Linked DNA regions of Lonchura striata. Each later gene encodes a partner of the first gene's protein in a complex. Links are inferred from orthologs where the notes say so. Each region holds a gene or a part of one and is shown in the gene's direction. Other genes may lie near its edges.

What was found. Proteins that work in one complex are often made in the same cells at the same time.
Region 2: the proteins of RAB35 (region 1) and RUSC2 are in contact, whole or in part, in a crystal structure (PDB 6IF2), measured with the Homo sapiens proteins. The link is inferred for Lonchura striata from reciprocal best matches to the Homo sapiens genes RAB35 and RUSC2. Residues at the interface, in NP_006852.1 of Homo sapiens: Asp4, Tyr5, Leu8, Phe9, Lys10, Ser22, Leu26, Asp30, Ile38, Thr40, Val43, Asp44, Phe45, Lys46, Ile47, Lys58, Gln60, Trp62, Thr76, Arg79, Gly80, His82; in NP_001129471.2 of Homo sapiens: Val997, Lys998, Asn1001, Asp1005, Val1008, Thr1013, Arg1015, Lys1020, Glu1119, Glu1155, Leu1158, Leu1159, Gln1161, Pro1162, Leu1165, Leu1166.

Annotation. Positions count from the first base shown.
Region 1 is NC_134620.1:5,002,353-5,009,915, forward strand, and holds the start of RAB35 (ras-related protein Rab-35), read left to right. Parts: upstream 1-4,463; 5' UTR 4,464-4,503; coding exon 4,504-4,555; intron 4,556-7,184; exon of another isoform or gene 7,185-7,563. UniProt on the Homo sapiens protein: The small GTPases Rab are key regulators of intracellular membrane trafficking, from the formation of transport vesicles to their fusion with membranes.
Region 2 is NC_134642.1:39,875,457-39,882,994, reverse strand, and holds the start of RUSC2 (AP-4 complex accessory subunit RUSC2), read left to right. Parts: upstream 1-4,513; 5' UTR 4,514-4,558; intron 4,559-7,538. Other genes in the region: phospholipid-transporting ATPase ID, read left to right, coding at 1,475-1,696. UniProt on the Homo sapiens protein: Associates with the adapter-like complex 4 (AP-4) and may therefore play a role in vesicular trafficking of proteins at the trans-Golgi network.

The DNA of each region.
Region 1 (7,563 bases):
TGTGACGGTTCTGAAGACTGAAAATCCCTGTAAAACGAAGTATTTAAAATAGCCTTAGAAATCACAGATGCGAAAGGGGAATTAAATGCAGTCCGTTTAGAGAAGGAACATTTAATAAAGGCTCTGACTTTGATCCTTCTGATGTAAACTGTTCTTTATACAAATTAATTTGTCAACAAACTTACACTGTGATTTACTTTTCAAACCTGTTTGGTTTAGAGCATACAGTTTATAGAGTGGACAATGCTGTGATCTGTGAAAACCTTTTGCAGAACTGAGGCAAGACAGGGTTTAAAGCCAAGGCAGAACTGACATTTAATGAAATTTGTAAGTAATTACTCCTGTTGATTTCCAAAGTATTTTTGACTACAGACAGCTTTTTAATTACCCAACTAGTGAAAAGTCCTCTGTATTTACGTCTTCAAAGGCATCACAAAATACTTGGCGTTAGTTTTTTTGGTCAATGAGTTGTGCTGCTCCAAGAAAGTCTTTTATTTTACCTGGCCACATATATCTGTCTTGAAAAAAAATCAATTTACTAGTAGATTTGATGTCACTTGATGGATATACTGAAAATCTTGTTGCAGAATACAAATTTTTAGAAGGCAAAATGAGCTTTATGTTTCACGTGGAGCAATAGTTACGTGAGCCTTACCTATTGTATGAAACTCACAGAAGGTGGTTGCACCCGAGAAGCCAGAGCACTAAGATTTGTTATTTCATGTGGGTGGTGTGTATGTGTGTGCATGTAATCTTCCTTCTTTATAACTCTGGATGCCTCAAACCATGATGATGGGAGAACACAACACTACACATAAAATCTGAGAGCATTAAGTGGAACTCCATGGGAGCACACATTCTGCTAGAAGCAATTTTCTGATTGTTATGGCAGTAGCAGTAAACACAAGAACATTTTTATCATACTCAGGCCTCAAACAGCAAGATACAACCATGAGCAGGTATTTGGGAATGCTGTGGTTTGTTCTGGTCAGAAGTACAAAAATCTGACAAAAGTTTCTTGGTGCTGTGTCAGTTCCCAGCCTGTGGTGTAGCATCCTGACAAGAGATTTGCTGTAGGAGTTAGTGGAAACTTGGGCAATTAGATATTTTACCCTTTACCTAAGATAGGCTCAGCTCCCACTAAACCATTCCTAGCAGACTGCCACACAGCTGTTTTATAGCATTATAGGATGGAGATTCCATAACTTCTCTATGCCATCTATTTTGTTATATGAACTTACCAGACTGTCAGGAATGTACCTCATGTCTGAAGAAAAAGTTTTCCTTGCTGCAACTTGAATCCATTGCTGCTTGTCCTGTTCCCACAGACACTGAAAACAGTTCCTTTTTGCAGCAACCACATTGTCACTTCAGTATCCTCATCCCTGGATGAAATAAATTCAGATTTTCTATGTATTTCCTTAGAGATTTCCATGTTTTCTAAACCTACACTGCTGCCCCTCATGTTGATTTGTTTCATTCTGACTCCTTTTTGCCTTGAGGTGTCCACTGCTGGCCCAGGTCTCCTGGGGAGTTGATTTGCAAGCCCCACTTAACAAACACAGTTGTCCGCCCCAGCACAAGGTCTGGGTGTTCCTTTGTTGCAACACCACCATGTTGTGGACATGTTAGTTTGTGATCAGCTATGAAGCCAAACTAAAAATGGCTCTTTAGTTAATTATGTCTAATCTTGTATTTATGCATTGGACACATTTCTACAAAACTGCAGCGCTTCCCAGTTGGTGTGACAGAAATTGTGTTCTATTTAATCACATTTAAGATGGGTTTTAATTCTGATTTTTGCATTTCAAAATACTTGCAAATCTGAAATCATCTGAAAACTACATATTTTGCATTGAATTGGTAATACTCAAGAGTGAAAACTCAGCTAAATGCTCTTAAAGATTTGGCAGCTTGGGGCACTGGAATGAGTTTCACCTGTGATGAATTAGCTGTGCTTTGGGATCCCAGGAACAGCAGTTAAACCATGCAATGCAAAAACCTCTGCCCTGACACATGTACAAAATCTGATGCCACTCAAAACCTACTAAGAATGTGTCAAAAAGCTGTGATTGTACTGGAATCACTCACTCCATCACTGCAGCCAGGAAGGAATGAAAAAATGGCAAGTTTTGGTGAAGATGCTGTTTGAGCTCTTGATCATGGGCACCTTGGCTTACCTATTCTGATTCCAATTGATGCTCCAGATAAACATGGGAAAGAAAATTATAGGCAAATGAAGCCTTTTTTATTAACTTGTTCATTTCAACCAATAAGATATTCTATTATTTTGATGATTTGTATTTCCAGCTTAGGTAGCAGCAAGTGGAAAACCTCATTCATCTTTCCAAACAACACCTGAATTTCTGCACTGAGCTTAGTTGTTCCTGGGAGGGAGGAGTGAAAGGTAGGAGCTCACTTGCACTTGTGGAGAATATGCTGATTTTTCAGTCACAGTGAAACACTCTATTTGGATTTTGATAGCTACTTTTGTTAAACTATTTATACATTGCAGTATAATATATCAGAGATAAAATAGCCATAATGCTTGCCACGAGATCTGATAAATTGATTGTGCCAACTTGGAGACTAAAGAATTAATTTTCTTATTTCAAATGTCTTAAAAATACCAGTTGCCAGTAAAAGATAATTTTTCCCTTCAATTGATGGTAATAACATCTTTGAACTGTCAAGCAACTGTCTCTGAGTGACAGCTGAACTGTGTGCATTTCAAGAAGATCAAAAAATAATTTATGAGAGAGGTTTACAAGGTGCTAAAAATTACAATGGAAGAGAGACAAATGTAAAAGCATAAAATACTCAAATATTTTGATTTTTTTTTTGATCAGTCACAGTTCTTACTGTCCATTTTATTTAGTAACATCATGACACTTTTCACATGATGAGGTTTCATGAGCTTAAAAATAGAGGTAATAGGAGTCACTGTCATTTTGGGTTTGAGCTGGTGGTTTGTGTGCTGGATTCAAGGAATTTCCCTGCAGCTACTGCGTCCTCAGTTACTCTGGTGGTGCTGGATTGCCCCAGTGCTTGTCTGGGGTGAGTGATTTTATATATATATATATATATATATATATACACACACACACACACACATATATATGTGTGTGTGTATATGTATGTATGTGTATATATATGTGTGTGTGTGTGTGTATGTGTGTGGTGTTTAAAATGCATGAATTGCAGAGTGAATGTCAGCTGAAGGTCACATGAATGGATTCCAGGATGTGAGGACCTTGACAGGGTGCACTTTGAAACCTATAATGTGTTTTTGAAGGTTAAGATTAAGAAAGGTTCATAATTAGGTGGAACATGACCCACTAGACCAGGTTGCCCCAGTCCCCACCCAGACTGGCCTTGGACACATCCAGGGATGGGGCAGCCACAGCTTGTCTGGGCAGTCTGTGCCAGGGCCTCTCCACCTCACAGGGAACAATTTATTCCTAATACAGACTCATTTATAATCTGTAACAATCCAAGTTCTTTAGTGCTAATATACCTCTTCCTATCTGAATGACAATGCATGTTAGTAAGACAGGTTTCATTAAATAATTCAAACTTGATCTCAGGAGTTCAAGTACGAGTGTGAATGTTTTTTAAAGAAAAATTAATCACAGCAAAAAGCCAGCACTTTTCTTGTGCCATGTCTCCACTTAGAAGTGACGATCTCCTAAAAAGTGACCACAGTCTTGCAGTAATTGTGTAATCAGTGTCTGTGCAACTGATAACAAAATCACTGAGGCTGCTGGATGACTGGGAGTGCTTTTGAACTGCATATATGAGCTGGGGACGGTGCAAGCACAGCTGCTGATGGGCGTGAGGTCAAAGCCCTTCCTGAGCCACACACAGGAACATCTCTGGATTAAAAACCCCAGGAATTCATTTCAGACTGGCCTGACTTGCCAGGCCTGTGACACACACCTGGGTAGCTCATATCACTGCTGTGGGGCTCCTCACCTGCGGCTTGGGCTGCGCTGGGAACTGTTCCTGTACCTACACAAATCGCTCCTTCGGAGCAGAGCTGGGAGTGCTGAGGCTCCCTCACGCCATTGATGCTTCCCTGGGGGCAGCGTCGCTTTCAGCCGCGTCCTCACACGAGCACCTACGGGAAGCGGGGCGGCAAAGCGCTCCCGATGAAAGGCCTGTGGGCGGCTCGGCGCGGGGGCAGGACGGGTTTGGGCGGAGGGCGGCGGGTCCCTCACCCTCACGCTGCCGCCATCCGCCGCCTCAGCCACCGCCCCTCGCGCGCAGGCGCGGGCGCGTGAGGGCGCGGCCGTTTTCCCGCGCAGCCGCGGCGCGGGGCGGGGCGGGGCCGGCGCAGGCGCGGCGGCGCAGCTGGCGGCCCGTGGCGGCGGCCCGGCGCATGCGCGGCGGCGGCCCCGCTGTCAGTTCCGGCTGTTTGTCCGGGAAGTGGCTCCGGCCGGAGCCGCCGCCGCCCCCCGCCCCCCCCCCGCCCGCTCCGCCGCCCGCGGCCGCGCCCCGGCCATGGCCCGGGACTACGACCACCTCTTCAAGCTGCTCATCATCGGCGACAGCGGTGAGCGCGGGCGGCACGGCCGGGGGCGTGGGTAGGCCGCTGGCGGGGTGGCCGCCCCTCGGGCCGTGAGGGGCCGGAGGCGGCGGCGGGGCTGGGGCGGGCGGCGCGGGGGGCTCGGGAGGGGCGGGCCCCTCCGCCCGGGCCGCCCTCGGCGTTGCGCTGCCGGTGCCGCGGCGCGGGGCTGAGGCGGGACCCCGCGCTGTGTGTGTGAATGGCGGGGCGCGTTCGCTGGGGCTCGGGGAGGTTTTATCTGATAAACCTGCGGAACTGGCTACCGCAGGATATTATGGTAAATAGCTTGGCTGCGTTTGGGAAAAGGCAGATTAGACACGCAGAAGGCAGGACACCACCGGCAGTGCTGCCGGCATCAGCCTTGGCGAGCGCGTGTTTTGACGGCACCCACTAATCTGTTGCTGGGATGGGGAGGGAATTCCCTTCCCCTGTGACAGGCAGTCTAGGGATCGAGGGGAAGGGCTGGCTGCCCTAAGGACTGTTGTTCCAGTGCGGCAGCTAATACGTTTTAACAGTCATTATTGTCTTAATTATTCCTTAAGACTTTTTCTATGCTTCAGCCTGAAGTCTCAGTTCCAGATTTCCTTATTTTTTTTAATAAATCCTGGAAGAGGTGGTAGCTTTGTGTACTTCTCGTTATTGCATAGAATGCAAATATATAAAAATAAAGGGTGTAGTCTGAGGTTTTAAAAACCAAAGGTGTAGATAAAAGGTGTAGTTTGAATTTTTTTTTGAAAATAGACCTTTAAATACTTCAGCAACCTCAGAAACTTCTGGAGGGCTGAGCGTGTGAACTGTGCCAGTGTCTGGTGCTTTGGTCTGGGTACACAGGAATTGGGACGGGGAAGATCGCTGCCGTCGGTGCAGCTCGGTGTTGGTAGCACTCCAGCAGCTTACAGCTGAATTTCCATAAACTGGAGAAGGGTGCATCCACCCTCTTCTTTTAACAGAGGTGTGGTCCGTGGGGCGGCAGGTCCCGGCATGCAGCGAGGCGCAGCCCTTGATGAAAGGGTGATGTTGCACGATCTTGGCAGTTGTCACCTTCGGAAGCTTTAGCTTCACGTCAGAAATGTTTTTTTCTACGCTAAACTGTGTCTGCATGAAGGGATCTAAGAAGGGAGACGGGACAGCAGCTTCAGAGCAGCTTAAACCCCAGACAGTTCTGGGAGCCTTGGATTATTGCAACCAAGCGCTGCATTCTGAGTAGAGCAGTGGCTCTGTTGGTTGCTGATGAGTTCCAAAACTGTTCAGGCAAGATAAACAGGATGGTGAAAACTCTGAGGAAGACTTCTCATTTTAAACAATTAAACAAATTTTGCCAGCTCAGTCTTCTTGAGCGAAATCCCTGTAGTGTATCCAGTGAAAGGAGTGTTGTGAGAATTGTCAGGCGGCCTGTGGTTTTCTCCTGTAATTAAATCTCACAATGTAGTTTGACTATTGATTTTTCTTTGTTTTTGTTTTTGCTAACCCCAACAGGAAAGCTTTGTCTCTGCTTGCATGAAACAGTTTGCTTGCCTTGTTTATTGACATTTATTCCCTGCAATAGGAAGTGGACTGTTACTAGATAGGATAATTATGTCTCATCTGCTTTCCCCTGTATGCAAATATGTCAGAGGGGTAGTAGGTTTGTGTGTTTTTAGAACAGGTCATCTTGAAAAGCTGCTGGTGATTTCAGCTGTGCCAGATATTTAAAAATAACACAGATGATCTGTGCTTTGCTTTTGCTTCTTTAGTTCACTGTACTGTTCAGTAAGATATGGGTCTTAGAATCTTGTCTGACACTGAAATATACTTTTAATTTTAATTTTGCAAAGTCAATAGGCTTTTTTTTTTGTTTTGTTTAATCTTGCTATCTTCAAGAAGCTGAGGGCCCTGCAAGACTTCTCTTCAGATCTTCAAACAGCTCTGTGTGGGAAGTGTGGGGTCACCAAGAGTGTGGTTTCTCTATGCGTGAACAGTGTGGGTCAGAGGCAGTGTTTGCTTAGTGAGATCGTTGTCACTGGGAGCATGCAGAACTTCCTGAGTTCAGGAGCTTTCTTCTCTCTGGGAGCTGCCAGCCTGCTGGGAGCAGTGCAGCTTGTGCAGTGGAGGGCAGTGTGACAGAGCAGTGTCATGTGCAGCTCTGCAGCATCGCCCAGGGCTGGCTGAGCTCGGACCTGGTGCTGTGGTCTGACAAGTCTGTGGGTTCTGGCACCTTCTTGCCTTTCACTGAGCTGAAGGCCAAGGCTGCTTGGTCAAGAAGCACAGCACTTGATGCTGAAACATTCTTGTTTTCTCTTAGTTTCTTATTTTTTCTTAGTTGACCGGTATTTGCAGAGCTTTAATTCTGGCTAAATGACCAGTCCTCTGAAGTACAGGAACTGCTCTGCTACCTTTTTTGAGCTCAGAGGTATTAATTATATGCATGCTGAAACTTTGTATTTTTTAGTTCCTTTCCTCTTTTCCTCCTTAGTTTGGTAGTAGTGAGGAATGAACATGGCTTCTCCAGATGGCTGGTGATTTGAACTCTTTGCAAATGAGACCTGGCTTACTGTAATCATGCGGATTTTTAGGCTGGTTTTTATTTTTTGTTGGTAGCTGTTGTCACATGCCAGCAGCTAAGAACTACTGGAGTTCTGCAGGGCCTTTACATAGGTCTTCTATTAAGAAGAATTTGTGATTTATACATCATCAAAATAATTACCTTGGAAAATTTCTCCCTGAAAAGATATAATAGATAATTATTTCAGTGAAGTGAATTTCCTATTCATGCCATAGCAGATTTATTTTGATGAGGAAGGGTCATTGACAGCAGAGATGTTATGCAGAGATAACAACGTGGAGGCATTTGGATACCCAGATTCCCTTGGGTGGGTGTACAGGAATGAGTTTCTTACAGTTCTTGTCTGAAGCCCTGTGAAAAATGCTTCCCTGCAACAGTGTGTTATCAGGGTGCCAACAATCAGTTATGGAAAACCTGGATGAAGAGCTACTCAAAGCATTTAGAGGAATGTTTC
Region 2 (7,538 bases), on another chromosome or scaffold:
GTTTGCTGGGGATTTTAAAATTTATTTTAGAATTTACTTTTTGTAGCCAATGGCTGTATGCCCCCTCTGGAACGAGCTTCTCTCCCATCCTCGGGAATATGAAGCTGAGGGCACCAGGGCAAGGAGAGGCAGGGAGTGATGGAGTGGGCAGGGAGCGCACTGCTCGCTGCAGCCAAGGGACCCCTCAAGACATCAGCGCACACAGGGCTCCCCGGGCTCGCTTCCAAACAGGAGCATTTGCTGAATGCTACTGCCACCTCGTGCTTCCTTCCTTCCCCTGCGCTGAGCTGCTGCGAATCGGGGTCAGAGCACAGCCCCAGGGGAAGGCACCGCAGTTGACGCTCTCCCTGGTCATCCTCCAGACGTCTGTGGAGCTCCACAGGTTCTCTATGACTGTAGAAGAACGTGTTAGGGGAATTCTTAGCCCTTACAAAGAGGGTAGGCCTTGCTGGAGAAGACTTCTGGCTAGGGAGGTCCTTGAAACAGCTCGAGGCAGCTGTGGGGTGTAAAACTGGTCTGAGTTTACCCCGGCTGAGCAGAAGTCAAACACAGCTATCACCCAGAATCCCAGCCTCATTGCCAAGGTTGAGCATCCCTCTCTCTAGCACAAAATTACTTCTCTGCCTCCTCTTGGAAATGAATGGTCACAGGAGAGGAGACGGTTTCCAGCTCTACAGAGTCCCCCAGCTGGCAGCAGACAGGCCTGATGTTTGAGATGTCAAGCACCTGCCACTGCCATTGTGCCAAGCAAGAAGCACAGGAATCTGGCACCTGGGGGTTCTGTTAAGCCACAGGCTCTCAATAGCAGCCTCCTGCATTAGACAGCCCCATTCTGAAAAGGTTCTTGATAGCAGATTAAGTCAGTGGCCACCTGGGAGCAGAAAGCCCACCACCTGCAAATAAAGTGCAATATTTATTTCCCATCTGCCAAGGAATACAGGATTCTCTCTATTATCCCTGTAAGCATTCAATGCCAGGTTGTATTTAGTGTTGATATACCTGATATAGTGGTAGCGGGGCTGGAATGAGATGATTCTCAAGGTGTCTTCCAATCCAAGCCACTCTGTGAATCTATAAGTCTATAACAATCAACATTATAATCATAAAAATATTTTATGCATCAGAAACTCCCTTTAGTAGTCTGTTTTCTATATTAAATATGCCAATTCCTAAATGTTTCCTTATTTATTTTCTGGAATTTTGACTTGTTCAGATGACTTTCACATTTTGGGTGATCTGACTGTAAGTCCTACAGCCATACCCCAACTATGGCATTAACAGAGATGCACATGGAAATAATTCCCTCCCATGATTTACAGACAACGCTCCAATTAACACCTTTTAAAATAAAATAGAAGATGCCCTTTCCTCATTTTTGTCTTTGAGTCCCTGCTTTTGTTTCCCTTCCTCTGCTTCTCTTCTACTGTGCTTGTGAATAATGATGTACCTTCCACTTTTCCCACCTTATTTCCAGGTCCTGATGAAAATCAAAGAAGCCAAAAAGCGGCCCCCTCCACCCTCACCCAAGCGACGCCTGCGCCGGACCAGCACCCGCCGCTCTGGCTACGCCTTCTCTCACCAGCACGGCTTCGGAGCACTCATCATGTCTGGGAGAAACATGCGGCCAAAGTCACCCTTTGCCACAACGGGAACATTTTCACCAAACAGTGACAAATATAAACACAAAGGATTGTAACGAAAGAAAAAAAAAAAAAAGGAGAGAAGAAAAAAGGAAAAAGTTTCCCAACCCCCCACCCCATCCCTCTTAAAAATTAACAAAGCAAACCAAAGTAAAGGGCTGTCAGGAGAGGAGGCTGTGCTGCCTGCAAGGCACCGAGCCAGTGGCTGCCCAGAGCTCTGCCCTCTGGGCTGCCAAATCAAGGACTTGGGGCTTTTCTTTCACCCACACACACTCTCTGATTCTAGTTTATTTTCCAAAGATGTGTGCTGCTGCTGGGGAAGGAGGGCTGGGTGAGTTGGAGCATGGAGTTGTATGGTATCCCAGAGGACCTCCCTGGCACAAGAGAGGACGTGCTGTGGGAGGCACCTCTGCTCCCTGAGATTGTTTATAATGCTACTTTTTTTTCTTCTCCCTCTAACTATATACCTCAGAGCAAAGAGAATTTCAATCTGAAGAAAAGGTTGAATTGGCAATGTCTTTCTCAGTCATGTGCCTTCATTTTTCTTCATGAATCTACTATGGGCCATATTACTGGGGTGACAGTATTGACCCCAGGTGTGCCTTAGGTCCAGCCACACAACCCAAAAATCCACAACCTTTGTAATGTGTGATTTTGTAGCCTTTTGACTGTGATCCACTTTCTCAAGAGATGGCCAGTACCCAAATACCACCCTCTTCCCACATCTGCCATCAGGAAGTGCTGCAAGCTCAGAGAAACCCTTAGTAGGTCAAGGGATCAGGAGCTGACAGTCATCAGTCTGCTCTGATTTATCTGGGCTGCAAATCTGCTTTTGTAAAGGATTATTGTTCTCAGAACCCTCTCAAGTTTTGTAAGTGGGCACCAGCCATTTCATTTAGACTTAAAATAAAAGAGCAGAAGGTGCTCAGGCTTCCTTATGGCTCAGACCATGAAATCTGGCCCAAGAAGCCCGTACACCATGGTTAGGGCCCACGTGGACTGCCAGCACAAGGCATCTGCCCCCCTTAACATAATGAGGTGTGTGCACATCTGTCTTGATGGTGATCACACCAGAATTATTGAAGCCAGAAAAGCTATTTCATGGCCAGCAGCTGAAATAGCCTTTACTGCACTGGTGCTGGGGTTCAGTGTAAGGGATGAAGTGACCTGGTGGCTTTCTTACCCTCCCCGATGAGCAGAGTGGCCACGATTCAGAGGATCTTAATGAGGCCTCAGGGCTCTCTGGAGTGTTTCATGGCTGCAGTGTTTCTCCGCACTGGCTCAAATTTTACTTGGGAACAGGTTATCTATCAAACACGGGTGGTAGAGAGCTGAAAATCCTACCAGTCTGACTGCCAGCAGAGGGACCTAAAATGCACAGATGCAGCTAAAGACATGGTGATGTTGAGGGACTGGGATTAGCTCACTGTTTTCTCACACCAAATCCATAATCAGCAGGGTTACTGGGTGGAAGGCCAGCGTGGCAGCATGAGAATCTGTCCTGCCAGTATTGCCGAGCTGCAGAGGACTAAGCCTCTGACTGTTGTTAGGGGTGATTTTTTTGTTTGTTTTTGTTTTTTGTTAAGGTTGGGAATTTTTCAGCTGTCATACAAATTTAGACTCCTTCCTTCATTTGATTTGGATTTTTTTTTTTTTTGTGCAGTAATCAGCTGATGTTTTTGAGACTCTGCTGTGAGTCTCTGAGCTGTTAGAAGGCAGTGTATGATGGCAAGAGGCCAGCCACGTCCCCATTTCATGGAACACCCTGCTGTCTGTGGTCCCAGTTTCAGCAGATACTGCATGAGATTGTTTAAGCTTTAATAGAAGGTCTCATCTCCCTGTGTTTTAACTCAGCTCAGGAAAAAAAACATAACCAAACTAGTCTGTTGCACCTGCTGCTTGGGGAGGCTTGTTGCAAACTGTGGTATTAAATTTCAGCACGGCAAGTGCAAAATTGGAGCTGGGACTGGATCCAGACTTCAGTGTCTAGGAGCTGCTTGCTAGGGAAAGAGTAAATTATCTGGTGATCTCCCCTGGAAGGAGATGCCTAAGTAAAGTGAGAGTCTGCACTCTGGCTGAGGAAACCACTGTGGTAGTTAATGCTTGTCACCTCCCCCTGATTTACCATTCACTTTGCAGGGACAATCATGGCTTTCTGACAAGGTGTTTGTTTTTCACAGTCAGCCTCCCTGGAGTTAGGGGAAAAAGGAGAATTTCTGCAGATAAGCAGACATTGCCATGATACCCATACTGGTCTGTGGACTGAAACTCCTATCAAAGCATCCTGATTCCTGGCACCTGATGCAGCAGAGTATATTGCAGAGCAGCAGAGGCAGACCTTGTGCTGACAGAGCAAGGAAAATCTGACACTGTGCCTCTCTTCTCATATGGTTTACGTGCAAAGTACTCACCTTCTGGCTAAAAGGGGATTTGAAAATGTTGGCTACAACATGTAGGGGATAATAAAGCTGTTGGTGAGCTTGCACCAGATACAATTCTTTCAGTGGTTTGACACAATCAGCATTTGAAACACAGCAGCTGGCAGCGATGTCTGTCCTACATCACTTCTAATTTTGTAAAATAATTGTTTTTTTGAAATAAAAATAGAATGTTGGGATGATAGATTCCTTGGCACTCTGTTAATTGAGGTAACAAGTCTATATGCAGAAGTGCACGGGGCGGGGGGGGGTTGGAGTGGTTTGTGGGACAATGGATCTGAGACGGCAACTCTATTCATCCGGTATCCTGACGAGGGAAGCACACAAATTCCCAAAATTTTCCATCCTGGCTAGGATGTTTTAAGAGGAAACTTAGAGGAAACGTCAGACATCCTTAGGCGGAGGACCCGGTGGGGGCGGGCAGCGTCGAGAGCCCGCCCCGTGGAGCAGCTGTAAACAGCGGAGCGATGCGGGCGATCGGTAAGGGACGGTGGCAGGGCGGGTGGGACAGTGCGGGGATTGTGCGGGGAGGAGCGGGCTCGCTGCTTCTCGTGTGCGCGGTGCTCAGCTTGGCTGCCCGGGGGGAGGTCAAACCGTGTGTCATCGCCCGTGCGGTGTCTGAAAATTATAATTTAGTCTTTTATGAAGCTGTAGTGTTTCGTAGATATGTCAAAAATTAATCCTTGAAATAGATTTTGGATTCTGTTTTTCACCCTCTCCCTTTTTTCCTCCGCATTATTCTGTAATATAAATATTCACAGTTTGAACATTGGTTTGCTGTTGTGCCTATACTTGCCACCCTGCTGGGCTGCAGTTTGGGGGTCAAGAATGACAATGCTCTGATGGTGTTGAAGCATTAGAACAGGAGGCTCAGGGAAGCTCTGGATGCCCCATCTCTGGGAGTGCACAAGGCCAGGTTGGATGAGGCTCTGAACAACCTGGTCTGGTGCAGAGTGTCCCTGCCTGTGGCAGGAGGATGGAACAAGGTGGTTTTTGAGATCCCTTCCAATGCAAACCATTCTGTGATTCTTTGATAGCCAGTGATGTTGTGTTTCCTTGCCTTACACTGCAGCAGAAGAGAGCTTAGAATGTCTCTCTTTCCTGAACCCACAGGGTGACAGTGAGCAATCTCTGTCCCTAATACCATGGGGCAGCAGGTGTGTTTGGGCAGAGGCACCTGAAGGGTGTTTTCCATTGCAAACTGCAACACCTGTATTCCAGGCTGCCTGGTAGCTCTCTCTCTGCCTGTGTGCATCCACACAACCCTCTCACACTGACCTGTAGCCTGGAAGTCCTTTCTCGTGAGCAGCTCTTAGGAAATGGGAAGGCAGAGGAGCACCATATGCTTGCCCTGGGCTCTCCAGTTGGAGAGCAACTCAGCAAAGTCTGTTGCACGAATGGAGACATCTCAGTAATGACCCATGCTAATTACCAGCTGGAACCAAAACAGGACCATAAAGGCTCTTTTGGATATCTCTGGGCACATGCACTGTATCCTCTAACCCCATCAGACCTCTGATAAAATTAATCCTAAATCCAGGTATTCCAGTTGGAAAGCTTCCTGACCTAAGGGTTGATTTTTCTCTCTGTCTAATTTTCAGCCTAAATGTGTTCACTGCATTTATTCTCTTGTTGTCATGCCAGCTTTATACTTTTGCTTCAGCAGTTTTGTCTCCTGTGATATATTTAGACAGCAATCCTATCCGCTCTCTGCCTACATTTGGCTAGGCTAAACAAGCCAGGCTCTTAAGTTTCTTCTTGTTTGATAGGTTTTTTGTTTCCCTCAGGCCCTTTCTGCACCTGTTCATTTGAGTTTATAATTTTTAAATGTGGGTGACCAGAATTCTTTTTTGCATGATGCTTCTTTCATCAGTCTATACAATAGCTCTGGTATTTCACTGCCTCACCTAGGACTGTGTTTGCTTTTCTTACAGCCTCATCACCTGTGTGTTCTTTAACATAGTTTTAGTGGATATTTTCCCCAATTTTATTATGGCTATGCATAATTATTAGCTAAATTAGGTTAGCTATGTAAATACCTCTCCTCTCATGCCTGACAACATGGGGAGGAGTTGAAGTCATCACAGAATAACTGTGTATGCTGATGCTTTAAATTGGTGCCTTGTGCTCAGGGCCAAGCTTTTTCCATGAGGGCTGGCAAGGACATTCTGCTACATCTGCTGATGTGTTGGCTGATGTGATGTGCTGGAGTGAGGGAGCAGCCATTTCTCCCAGCAATAAGTGTGGTGCTGCGTTCCCAGCCACAGCTCCCAGACAGCCCTGTCCCTGTCCCTGTGATAAAGTCTGTGTTGCTGCAGGGCTGGACGTGATGAAGGATTCAGAAGACAGGCACAGAGCCCTGCAGCCTGGGCTTGACCTCTGAGTGCTTTTGGCCATATCCGCTGCACAGCTACTCTTCATTTTTTCCAAAGCTACTCTTCTGCTGCCCTGCTTCTTATAATGCATTTAGAAGTAGAGAGTGGTTTTTCTCTTCCTGGCACTGTAGGGAAGCCCCCTCTCTCCCATCACTCCCAGCTTAAAGGAAAGACGTTTCCATATCCCTGTCTCTTTCCTCAGACTGCCTCTTCCCTCCAGCTGGGTGGAGCTGACTGTACGGAGCTGTCAGCTCCTGCTTTTCCACACAACGCTGAGCCCTCTGCTAGACTTTTCAGCTATAAATGGATCTCAACTTTTCCAACCCCCACTCTCAACACCAGGAGATTTTATGGGATAGCCAGGCTTCCTCTGAATTAGGAAAACATGATCCAACTGCTTGCTTTTTGTAGTTCTCTGTGAGCATCCTGCCTGGCTGTGGGGGAGCTGTATGTCCTGGTGAGGGCTGTGCTGCTGAATTTCTTGTGTGCACTGCGAGAGCAGCAGTTCTCAGACCTCAGTGGCAGGCCTGCAGGTGCCATCACCAACCCCACACATCACCCCACGAACACAGCACCGTCCGATCTAAGCTGTGTGTCTCCAGGGAAGGCCAATATTTTTGTTACTGCCTGCATCCTGCCTCCACATCCAAATCAGGCACTTCATAGAAGAAGCCCGGCTTCTGTACATAATGAACAATGTTTGCTTCCCTTAACTTTGGGATTTATGGCAGGCATCATGAGGTCTTTTAAGCTTTATTGCATTCTGGCTTCTCGGAGAAGCAGGGAGCATCAATATCTCCTCGTTCACCAGGGAGCTGGGGCCTGAAGTATGCACACCAAGGTGACTCAGGGAGTCAGTAGCTGCCCTGGATTTTAAACTGAAGGCTTTTGTGTCATCAAGTGCTAACCTCCATCAGCCCTGCCGGCATCCAGGCCATTCATTCCATGAAGAGTACAGGTCTGTATTTAGAAAATTAATTTGTACTCTCATGTTGAAAAATTGCAGTCTGAAAGTCTCCTAGTTAGTGTGCTGTGTAGAAGCTGCTGGGCAGGGTTCCAGTCTGGTGACCTTTTGCTGGCAGCAG